2 linked regions of the Canis lupus familiaris genome follow. The protein of the gene in region 1 purifies or fractionates together with the protein of each later gene. This does not show direct contact. Links are inferred from orthologs where the notes say so. Each region holds a gene or a part of one and is shown on either strand. Other genes may lie near its edges.

The links.
Region 2: the proteins of POLR2E (region 1) and POLR3D purify together in Homo sapiens (affinity purification with mass spectrometry; 6 studies listed by BioGRID and IntAct, counting the BioPlex papers as one, with this or other methods). This does not show direct contact. The link is inferred for Canis lupus familiaris from reciprocal best matches to the Homo sapiens genes POLR2E and POLR3D.

Annotation. Positions count from the first base shown.
Region 1 is NC_049241.1:58,128,669-58,132,629, reverse strand, and holds the start of POLR2E (DNA-directed RNA polymerases I, II, and III subunit RPABC1), read right to left. Parts: upstream 2,801-3,961; 5' UTR 2,724-2,800; coding exon 2,667-2,723; intron 2,444-2,666; coding exon 2,269-2,443; intron 1,023-2,268; coding exon 907-1,022; intron 495-906; coding exon 414-494; intron 1-413. UniProt on the Homo sapiens protein: DNA-dependent RNA polymerase catalyzes the transcription of DNA into RNA using the four ribonucleoside triphosphates as substrates.
Region 2 is NC_049246.1:35,180,821-35,185,040, forward strand, and holds the start of POLR3D (DNA-directed RNA polymerase III subunit RPC4), read right to left. Parts: upstream 2,801-4,220; 5' UTR 2,651-2,800; intron 2,438-2,650; 5' UTR 2,433-2,437; coding exon 2,268-2,432; intron 1,326-2,267; coding exon 1,282-1,325; intron 327-1,281; coding exon 175-326; intron 16-174; coding exon 1-15. UniProt on the Homo sapiens protein: DNA-dependent RNA polymerase catalyzes the transcription of DNA into RNA using the four ribonucleoside triphosphates as substrates.

The DNA of each region.
Region 1 (3,961 bases):
TGAGTCTGTGGGTGTGACAGGCCCCACGGCGCCCCCACACGGGAAAGGGGAGCAGAGCGCCACAGGCTGTTTCCTTGGAGTCAACCATCCACCCAAGGGTCCCAGCTGCCACCCCACCCTGCTCCTGACTCCACGCCTGGGGGGAAGGAGCTATGGCCTGCAGGCGCCTGGGGGGGTATAACCTGGAGAGTGCAGGGGCCCCTGGACAGACCCCACCCCCTGCCCCCCAGCTGCCTGACTGCACACCTGGCAAGTGCCCAGGGCCTCACTGAGACTCCGGCTCTGCTTCCTCCTCCCCACAAAGTGGGAGCAGCGGCACCTGGTGCGTCCCCAGGCCCTCCCTGTGCTCGGGCAGGTGCCACCTCACCAGCCGTCCAGCCTCCCCTCCCGCAGACCCCCACTAAGGCCCTCACCTCGTGCTCCGTGATGTTGATGAGTAGCTCCTGCTGCAGAAACTGCTCCAGGATGTACTTGGGGGCCATGTCAACCAGGGACTGAAAGAGAGGCTGACCCTCACGCACAGCCAAGGCCCAAGACGCCGCCACCCCACCTCTCCCAGGGGCTGAGGGCAGGTGGGAGCCAAAGGGGGTTCCCACGTGTCAGGTCAGTAAGGCTCCTCTGGGAGGAAGAGACCACCCGACACAAACTGTGACACCTAACAAAATGCTCCTGCAGTTGTCCCTGTGCTGGTGTGACGTAGAGAACCCTGCAGGGACGAGCGCACAGAGCTGGCCCTCCGTCCCAAACAGCAGCCCCTCCTCGGACCTGTTAACCACAGGAATGCTGGCACCCATGCAGGGCACCTCCCTGCTCTGGCTTCTGCCCACACGGGAGAGCCGCTCCTTCTCAGATCCCCAGATCCTGGGGCCCATGAGGACGTGCGGCCAACACGAGCAGCGTGCCCACCTGCTTGGCGGAGGGAGTCATGCCCTGCTGTACCACAATGAGGGCCCGGGTGATGTTCTCCTCCTGCATCCGCTGGCAATACACCTTGATGGTCTTGATTCCCACTTTAGGCTCCTCTGGGGACAGAACACACGAGGTCTACACTGCAAGAGTCCCTCCTGCCCCAAGGGCCCTGCTCACTCACCTGCTCGTTCACTTCCACCCTGCTAGGCGCGCGGGCTCCAGCTTGACCTTGCCAAGGTGTAGCAGTGCCTCTCTGGACCAGCTCCCTCTTTCTAGGGCCCCAGGGAACCCACCAGGGTGCCAGTCCTCCCCCCCAGCCCCCACGGAGCTGATGGGTGCCCTGCATCTACCCACTTGGTGGATCCCTCCCTGGAAGCTGAATCTGGGGACCTACGTGGTGCAATGTCTGGAATCCCCAGATGAAGCAGCTGACCTGAAGGACCAAACCCCCTCCCTGCACAGCCACGGTGGGAACCCTCACGCTCACCACAGTACAGGGGCCAAGACCTGCGGGACCCTCTGAGCCTGGTGGAAGGTGAGCAACTGGGTGCCTGCTGCCAGGACGGGTGCGTGTGGTGCACCACATCTGCCCCATCACAGCACTCCCCTCGGACCCTTGCTCACCTGACGGGCAGCGTCAGGGACTGAGCTGTTTCCCACGGAATCCCCGTGTTACAATCCTAACCCCCGAGACCTCGGGTGCAACCGTACTTGGAACTGAGGTCTTTAAAGAGGAGATTCCACCAGGTTGTCAGGATGGACCTCAGTCAGACACAACAGCACAGACACACAGAGGCACGACCTCGGGAACTCATGGAGAAGACGGCCACCGGCACGCCAGGGAGAGGCCTCAGGGGGACCCAGCCCCGTGCACACCCTGGTCTCAGACGTCCTGCCTGCAGCCCCGGAAGAGGTCAGGCTGCTGCTGAAGCCGCCCGGTCTGCGGCGCCCAGTCGCGGCGGTCCAGGTGGACCAGCACGGCCGCTCAGTCCCATTCTGTGGCCCACTGGAGCACACGGGCGCCCCGGGCCCACTCCAGGGAGGGCCCTGCCACAGGCCGACCCACACACGGGGACGCTGTTTGCACGAGCACCAGGAGGGTCCCTCCTGCAAAGGTTTCCGACGCCCTTGCTTCTGGGCAGGGGGCTGGGCCCCCCGGGAGGCCTGCGACAATCCGGCTGCACTGAACGAACAGTCAGCGGGGAACAGAACCCAGGGCTCCCATCAGCACCCCGTGGCACCGTGCGCAGCAGGCTGGGCACTCGGGAGGGCGGGTGTAGACACCGTCCCTGGATGGCTGCACGAGGGCTGCGGACTCCTAGGGGTCACGCAGCCACCCAGGACCCACGCGACCCTCACCTGGAAAGAAGACAAACATCTGGTCGGTGGGGTCGTCGTTGTGGGCCACCAGCACCGTGAGGTCCGTGCGCCGGGGCCGCCCCTCGCTCGGCTTGTCCCCAAACTGGGCCTTGAACTCTTCCAGCGTCTGGTCCAGCTCATCCTGCGTCACCAGGTAGCCGCGGTCGTGGCACAGCTGCAGGGAGCACCAGCCGGGTGACCCCCGGGCTCAGAGGGCGGGGCGGGAGGGGCGCGGCCGGATGACGTCACCGCGGAGAAGGACGGACAGGGCCGCGGCCCGGCGCCTCCGAGCGCGTGGGGACCGCACAGGAAGGGGCCGCAGAGGCCGGGACGCACCCGCCGAGCGCGCCCGGAAGCTCCGAGCTGCGCCCGCCGCCGCCCTGACCGCGCGGGCTCACCTGCATGATGGTCTTGCGGATCTTCCACAGCCGGTACGTCTCCTCCTCGTCGTCCATGGCGGCCGCCGCTCGCAACCCGCGCGCCTGAGCCCGCGGCAGGGGCCCGCGCTGACTGCGCCTGCGCCGAGCCCTGCCAAGCCCCGCGCGGGGCTGCCCACAGCGAACGCCGGACTCCAGAGACCTTCGCGGGCGGCAGCGCCGAGGGCAGCCCGGGCCTTCTGCGAGCGGCGGTGGGCGGAGCCAGAGCCGAGCGAACGGGACCGCCCACTCTCGCCTCGGCAGTTGTCGCGGGGTTTCGGCCGCGGGGCCTGTCGGGAGTTGTGGTTTCCGCCCGATGCCCGTGTGGGTGGGGAGTTTGGAATCCGGAAGGGCGGAGGCGAGGTGTGGGCGGGGAAACTGAGGCCAGGGTGGGGTCAGCGGTCAGCTCGCCTCCCCGGGGCGCAGGGCATGTTGTCAGGCCCCCCACCAGGTACGCATCCCGCTGCTGGGCGTCGCCGCCGCCTTACTGCGCAGCAGCCTCGGGTCGCCCGGGTGGCTCCGTGGCTGAGCGTCCGCTCGGGGTGTGATCCCCGCATCGTGGGCTCGAGTCCCGCATCGGGTCCCGCAGGAGCCTGCCTCTCCCCCAGCGGTTCTCAGGAGTAAATAGTCTTAAAAAAAAAAAAAAAAAAAAGAAAGGCAGCCCGGGTGGCTCAGCGGTTTAGCACCGCCTGCAGCCCAGGGCGTGACCCTGGAGACCTGGAGTCCCACGTCGGGCTCCCTGCGTGGAGCCTGCTTCTCCCTCTGCCTGTGTCTCTGCCTCTCTCTCTCTCTCTTTCTCTCTCTGTCTCTCTGTCTCTGTCTCTCGAGAATTAAAAAAAAAAGCCTAAGCAACGGAGCCCCCCAGGCACCCCCTCCGCCAGCCCGTTTTTTCTTATCTGCCGTCTACACCCGTTTCTCCCTAGTCTGTCCGCCCTGGGCCGGCAGCTCCGCTCCTCCGTCCTGCCCCTTCTCCACATCCTGTCCATCCTGTCCGACTGCAAACCCTCCACCTTCAGAACTGCAGGCGCCGACGTGAGCCCCCATCTGTGGCCCTCTCCCTCCTCTCCCCCTCCCCCATCTCTCAGCTGAAATGCAGCAACAGCAAAGGAAAACCCCGGCTTTTCAAGGCAATCAACGAGGCCTCCCAGGTGTGCCCCAGGCTTGCCCCACGACAGCCTCTGACCTCCCCTCCCCCCTCCCCCGGGGCCTCCTGCAGCCAACGCAGCAGGCAAAGTGCAGCCCCAGGGCCTTTGCACACATTGCACCCTCTGGTGGAT
Region 2 (4,220 bases), on another chromosome or scaffold:
TCTTATCCCAGTTCCCTGTGGGAAATAACTCAGTTCACCAGGGGCATGGAAGAGGCCAACAGCAAGGAAAAGCACACAGGGAGCAGGGAAATTTTACTGCCCTTGCCCTTCTCTTGGGCAGTCTGGACTGAAATCTATGGATTTCTTCTTCCCGGAACCCCAGAAGCTTTGTACCCTTTTTCTTCATCATTTCAGCTGGGCCCTGCTCAAAGATGGAGTGGGACTGGATCACTTCTGGGCGGCCTCGGCCCCGTCCATGCCCGTCTCGCTGCCGGTCTCTATCCCTGTCACGCTTCTCTTTCTTGATGGCTACTTCTTCCTTGGGCCTGGAAAAGAGAATGGAGGAAGGGAAACCACTCACTCACTCTGCCTCAGAGAACTGGTCTTACTCTGACACACACTCTACTCTACCCGAGCAGAGAATCAAGAGCCAGTGACTGTATCTGAAGAAGCAGAACCCAATCCTAAGTCTAGCACCTTTTCTACTTCCTTGATGGGGCAGTTTCCTTTCAGTTCACTTTACTTATCTTCTTGCTTGAGAGTATATAACAGGACTACGACTCAAAAGTGGAATTACAGAGACTGCCCCTAAATGTGGACTTCTCAGTATTGCTTAAAAGCAAGAAGACTGTGATACAAAAGAATGTAAGTGAGAACTGAACACATTTTTGTCTAAACTAGTGTCTCTCAACTCCAGCCGTAAAGGATAATCACTCTCTTTCATCGCAAAAAAGTTAAATCACCATTTCCAGAGATGGACTTCCAGGCATCAGTATGTTTTTTAAAACTTGCACGTTACAATCACCTGGAAGCCAAGGTCAAAAATCACTAGTGAAAAAAAAATACACAAATTTAGATTTCTGAGCCACATACGTAGTTATTTCCCAAAAGACCCAAATTCAGAGCAATAGGGGAAATCTGTGTTATTTTTTTAAAAGATTTTATTTATTTATTCATAAGAGACAGAGAGAGAGAGAGAAGCAGAGGGAGAAGCAGACTCCATGCAGGGAGCCCGATGTGGGACTCAATCCTGGGTCTCCAGGATCACGCCCTGGGTGGAAGGCAGGTGCTAAACCGCTGAGCCACCCGGGCTTCCCTGTTTTATTATTTTAAAAGATTTTATTTATTTATTCATGAGAGACACAGAGACATAGGCAGAGGGAGAAGCAGGCTCCTGAGGACTGGATCCTAGGATCACGCCCTGAGCTGAAGGCAGATGCTCAACCACTGAGCCACCCAGGTGCCCCAAGGGGAAAGTTTTTAGAAGGCTGAGCTACTTACTCTTCCTTAATTTTCCGACTGATGATATTTGGGGTGAAGGTTTTCTGAAAATAAAATATGAGTCACTGATTTGTTAAGTTTCCCAAAGTACAGAGAAAAATGAAAACTCTCAAAAGGGATCTTGTATGGACCAAGACCACCATTCTACATTCCCTACTGTTATAATGGTTTACAGAGATAGGCATGTGCTTAAAAGGAATGAAGATCCTGTCATGATAGCAGTGGACTTACACACTGAACAGGGCACCAAAACCCCATTTTAGTTAGTGGCCTCAGCTTCTGCCCTCTGAAAGGAGAACCCTGAGCACTTCTACAATTTATTTATCTAATCTCACTTCTTGTCAAATCATTGAATATCACAGGAAAGAGCTCTAGCAGCAAGCCTCAAGTACAAAGTCCGCCTGCACCCACAAACAGACACAGCTAGACTGCCACCAGCATTTCCCAAGGCAAACAAGTCTTTGAAAACTAGCTGCTTTATGCTTCTGCTACATCACCACCACCAGCTGCCTCCCCTCCCCAATTTCGGGACGATCTTAACATCTACAGTGATAAACACGACGCAAAAGAACACTGAGCCTCCAAGGCCCTGCCTAGAATTCATTACACTAGATCACAGTTTGCCCACCATAATCCATGGCGGATACAGAACTCTCTAAAATTGAGGGCAAACTTTATGCCTGCTGGCTCTCAGGGGTTTCTTAAAGGTATCCCAAACACATTTTTAAAAAGTAAATAAACATTGCCCAAGTTGCCTGGGAAGTAATTAGGATTCTCTGCCCTTCAGCCGTTTCTGAGAACCACGTCAAGGTCCTGCGCCCGGTGTCTAGACTCCCTAGAATCTGTCAGCAGAAGTCTGGGGACGGGGTTTCCCTGGGCCCAACACAGAGCCTGGCACGCGGCGGGCCCTACGCGAGCGTCAGGTGAACCCCAGGGTCCTGGGACTCGAGGTAGCAGGGTTTCTTCAGCAAGGCGCCGTCGGGTACCTTCTTGACTCCCCCGAGGGTGAGGTCCCTGGAGCGGATGGAGGGAAGGCGACCCGGAGTGAGGGGAGGCGCCGGCCGCCGCCCAACAAGCCCCCGGCCCCCAGAGAGGAGGGGGCGGGGGCCTCCCGGGGCGCTCGGCTCGCCCGCAGCGTTTCCTTGCGACATTTTGCCTGGGAGAAAAGGAGGAAAGGGGCAAAACAGAGTCACTCGAGGGGGCGGACACACGGACCCGGGGCGGAACCCCACCCACGTGGCCTCCCCTAGTCCCGGCGTCCCTCCCTCTCCACGTGGCAAGGCTCCCCGGACCACCCAGGTGGAGCGCCTGGCTCGCCCTCCGCCCAGGCTCCCGGCCAGGCACGAGGCAGAGGCGCACCCCAGCGTACCCGGGCGGCGGCTCCGCACCACGCGCGTCCCGACTTCACCTCCGACGCGGCCCGCACACCGCCCCGGGTCTCTGCGCCGGGCGGAAGTCTGCGTGGCAGGGCCCGGGCGCCGCCATCTTGCCGCGGGCCGGAAGTGAGGTCAGGGGGCGGGGCCGGGCCACAGTATTTATCCGGCGGCGCCTCGCTCCCCTCCGCCTTCTCTTCCCGGTTCTTCCCGGAGTCGGGAAAAGCTGGGTTGAGAGGGCGAAAAAGGAAGAGGGGTCTGGTCTGGGTTACGCTGTGGTGCCGCGCTTTGGGGGCTTGGCCCGGGCGGAGGGGGCAGCGGCGCTCAGCTCGGAGCCCGGGGTGGGGCCTCGGCGGCCGCCACGACCCAACCTGGGGATTCGCCGTGGCGGAGCTTCTGGGAGCAGTGGGGTCGCGGCTCGGGACGGGGCGCGGGGCGCGGGGCCGGGAGCGAGACCCGGGCGCGGGGCTGGGGCGCCCCGGGCCCGGCCGAGCCGCGGCTGTGGGCTCGATGGTGACCTTGGAGTGGTCACTGTCCTCTGGGCTGCGGCCTCGCCCTCGCTCGGGGGTCCTTTGCCCGGACTCCTGGTAGGGTCCCGAGGTGGGGCTGCGGGCGCTGCGCCAGGGCAGCTGCGCGGGCTACCTGGGTGCCTAAGTGCACCCAGCGTGCTAACTGCAGCACGCACCCGGCTCTGGACTGCCGACCCTTGTGTGCACTCTCGTTCCAAGCCCCGAATTGAAAAATGAAGTTTGCTCCGACTGGGAGGGACGAATTTAAAGAACTTTTATGGTGACTCCGACATTAACATTTAAAAAAAAAAAGCCTTTTTACTGTTCTCTCCACCCCCAAACCATGCAAAATAAATAAATAAATTAATTAATTAATTAATTAATCCCACGTAACATTGCAGAGAGTTTGAGGGAAGGAAAAACAATTCTGCTACAATTCCACGTAGAATACTACCATTGAAACTTTTGTAATATATTGCAATCCCCTTGTAGAGCTGTCCTATTGTACCACAATTTTGAAGCCCTTTTGAAATAACATTTCTTTGTTGCCGCATCAAATGAGTAATAATTCTTGGTGGCTGTGTCATGATTTGCCTATTTTCCTGTTTGGACACTTAGATTCACCACCCCCACCCCCACCCCCACCCCCGCTGTTGTAAATAACGCTACAGTGAACATCTGGTGCATTTAACCTTTTTTTCTTCTTTTGGAATCTATCCCTAGGACAACTTTTCAGACTCGTGATAACTGGCCAAAAGAAGTTGTACTTTCTTTTTGAAGTAAAGTTTTTGAGGTAGTAGATACACATGCAGAGTTTTTTTTTTGCTTTTGTTTTTGTTTTTTGTTTTGATTGATTGATGTTTAGAGCAAGACAAAGAGAATCCCAAGCAGACTCTGCACTGAGCATTGACCCTACCCAGAGCTTGATCTCATGACTCTGAGATCATGACCTGAGCAGAAATCAAGAGTTAGATGCTTAACAAACTGAGCCACCCAGGTGCCCCAGATACACATGCAGTTTTAAGAAATAATACAGAGATCTCAAGTTTTCTCCAAT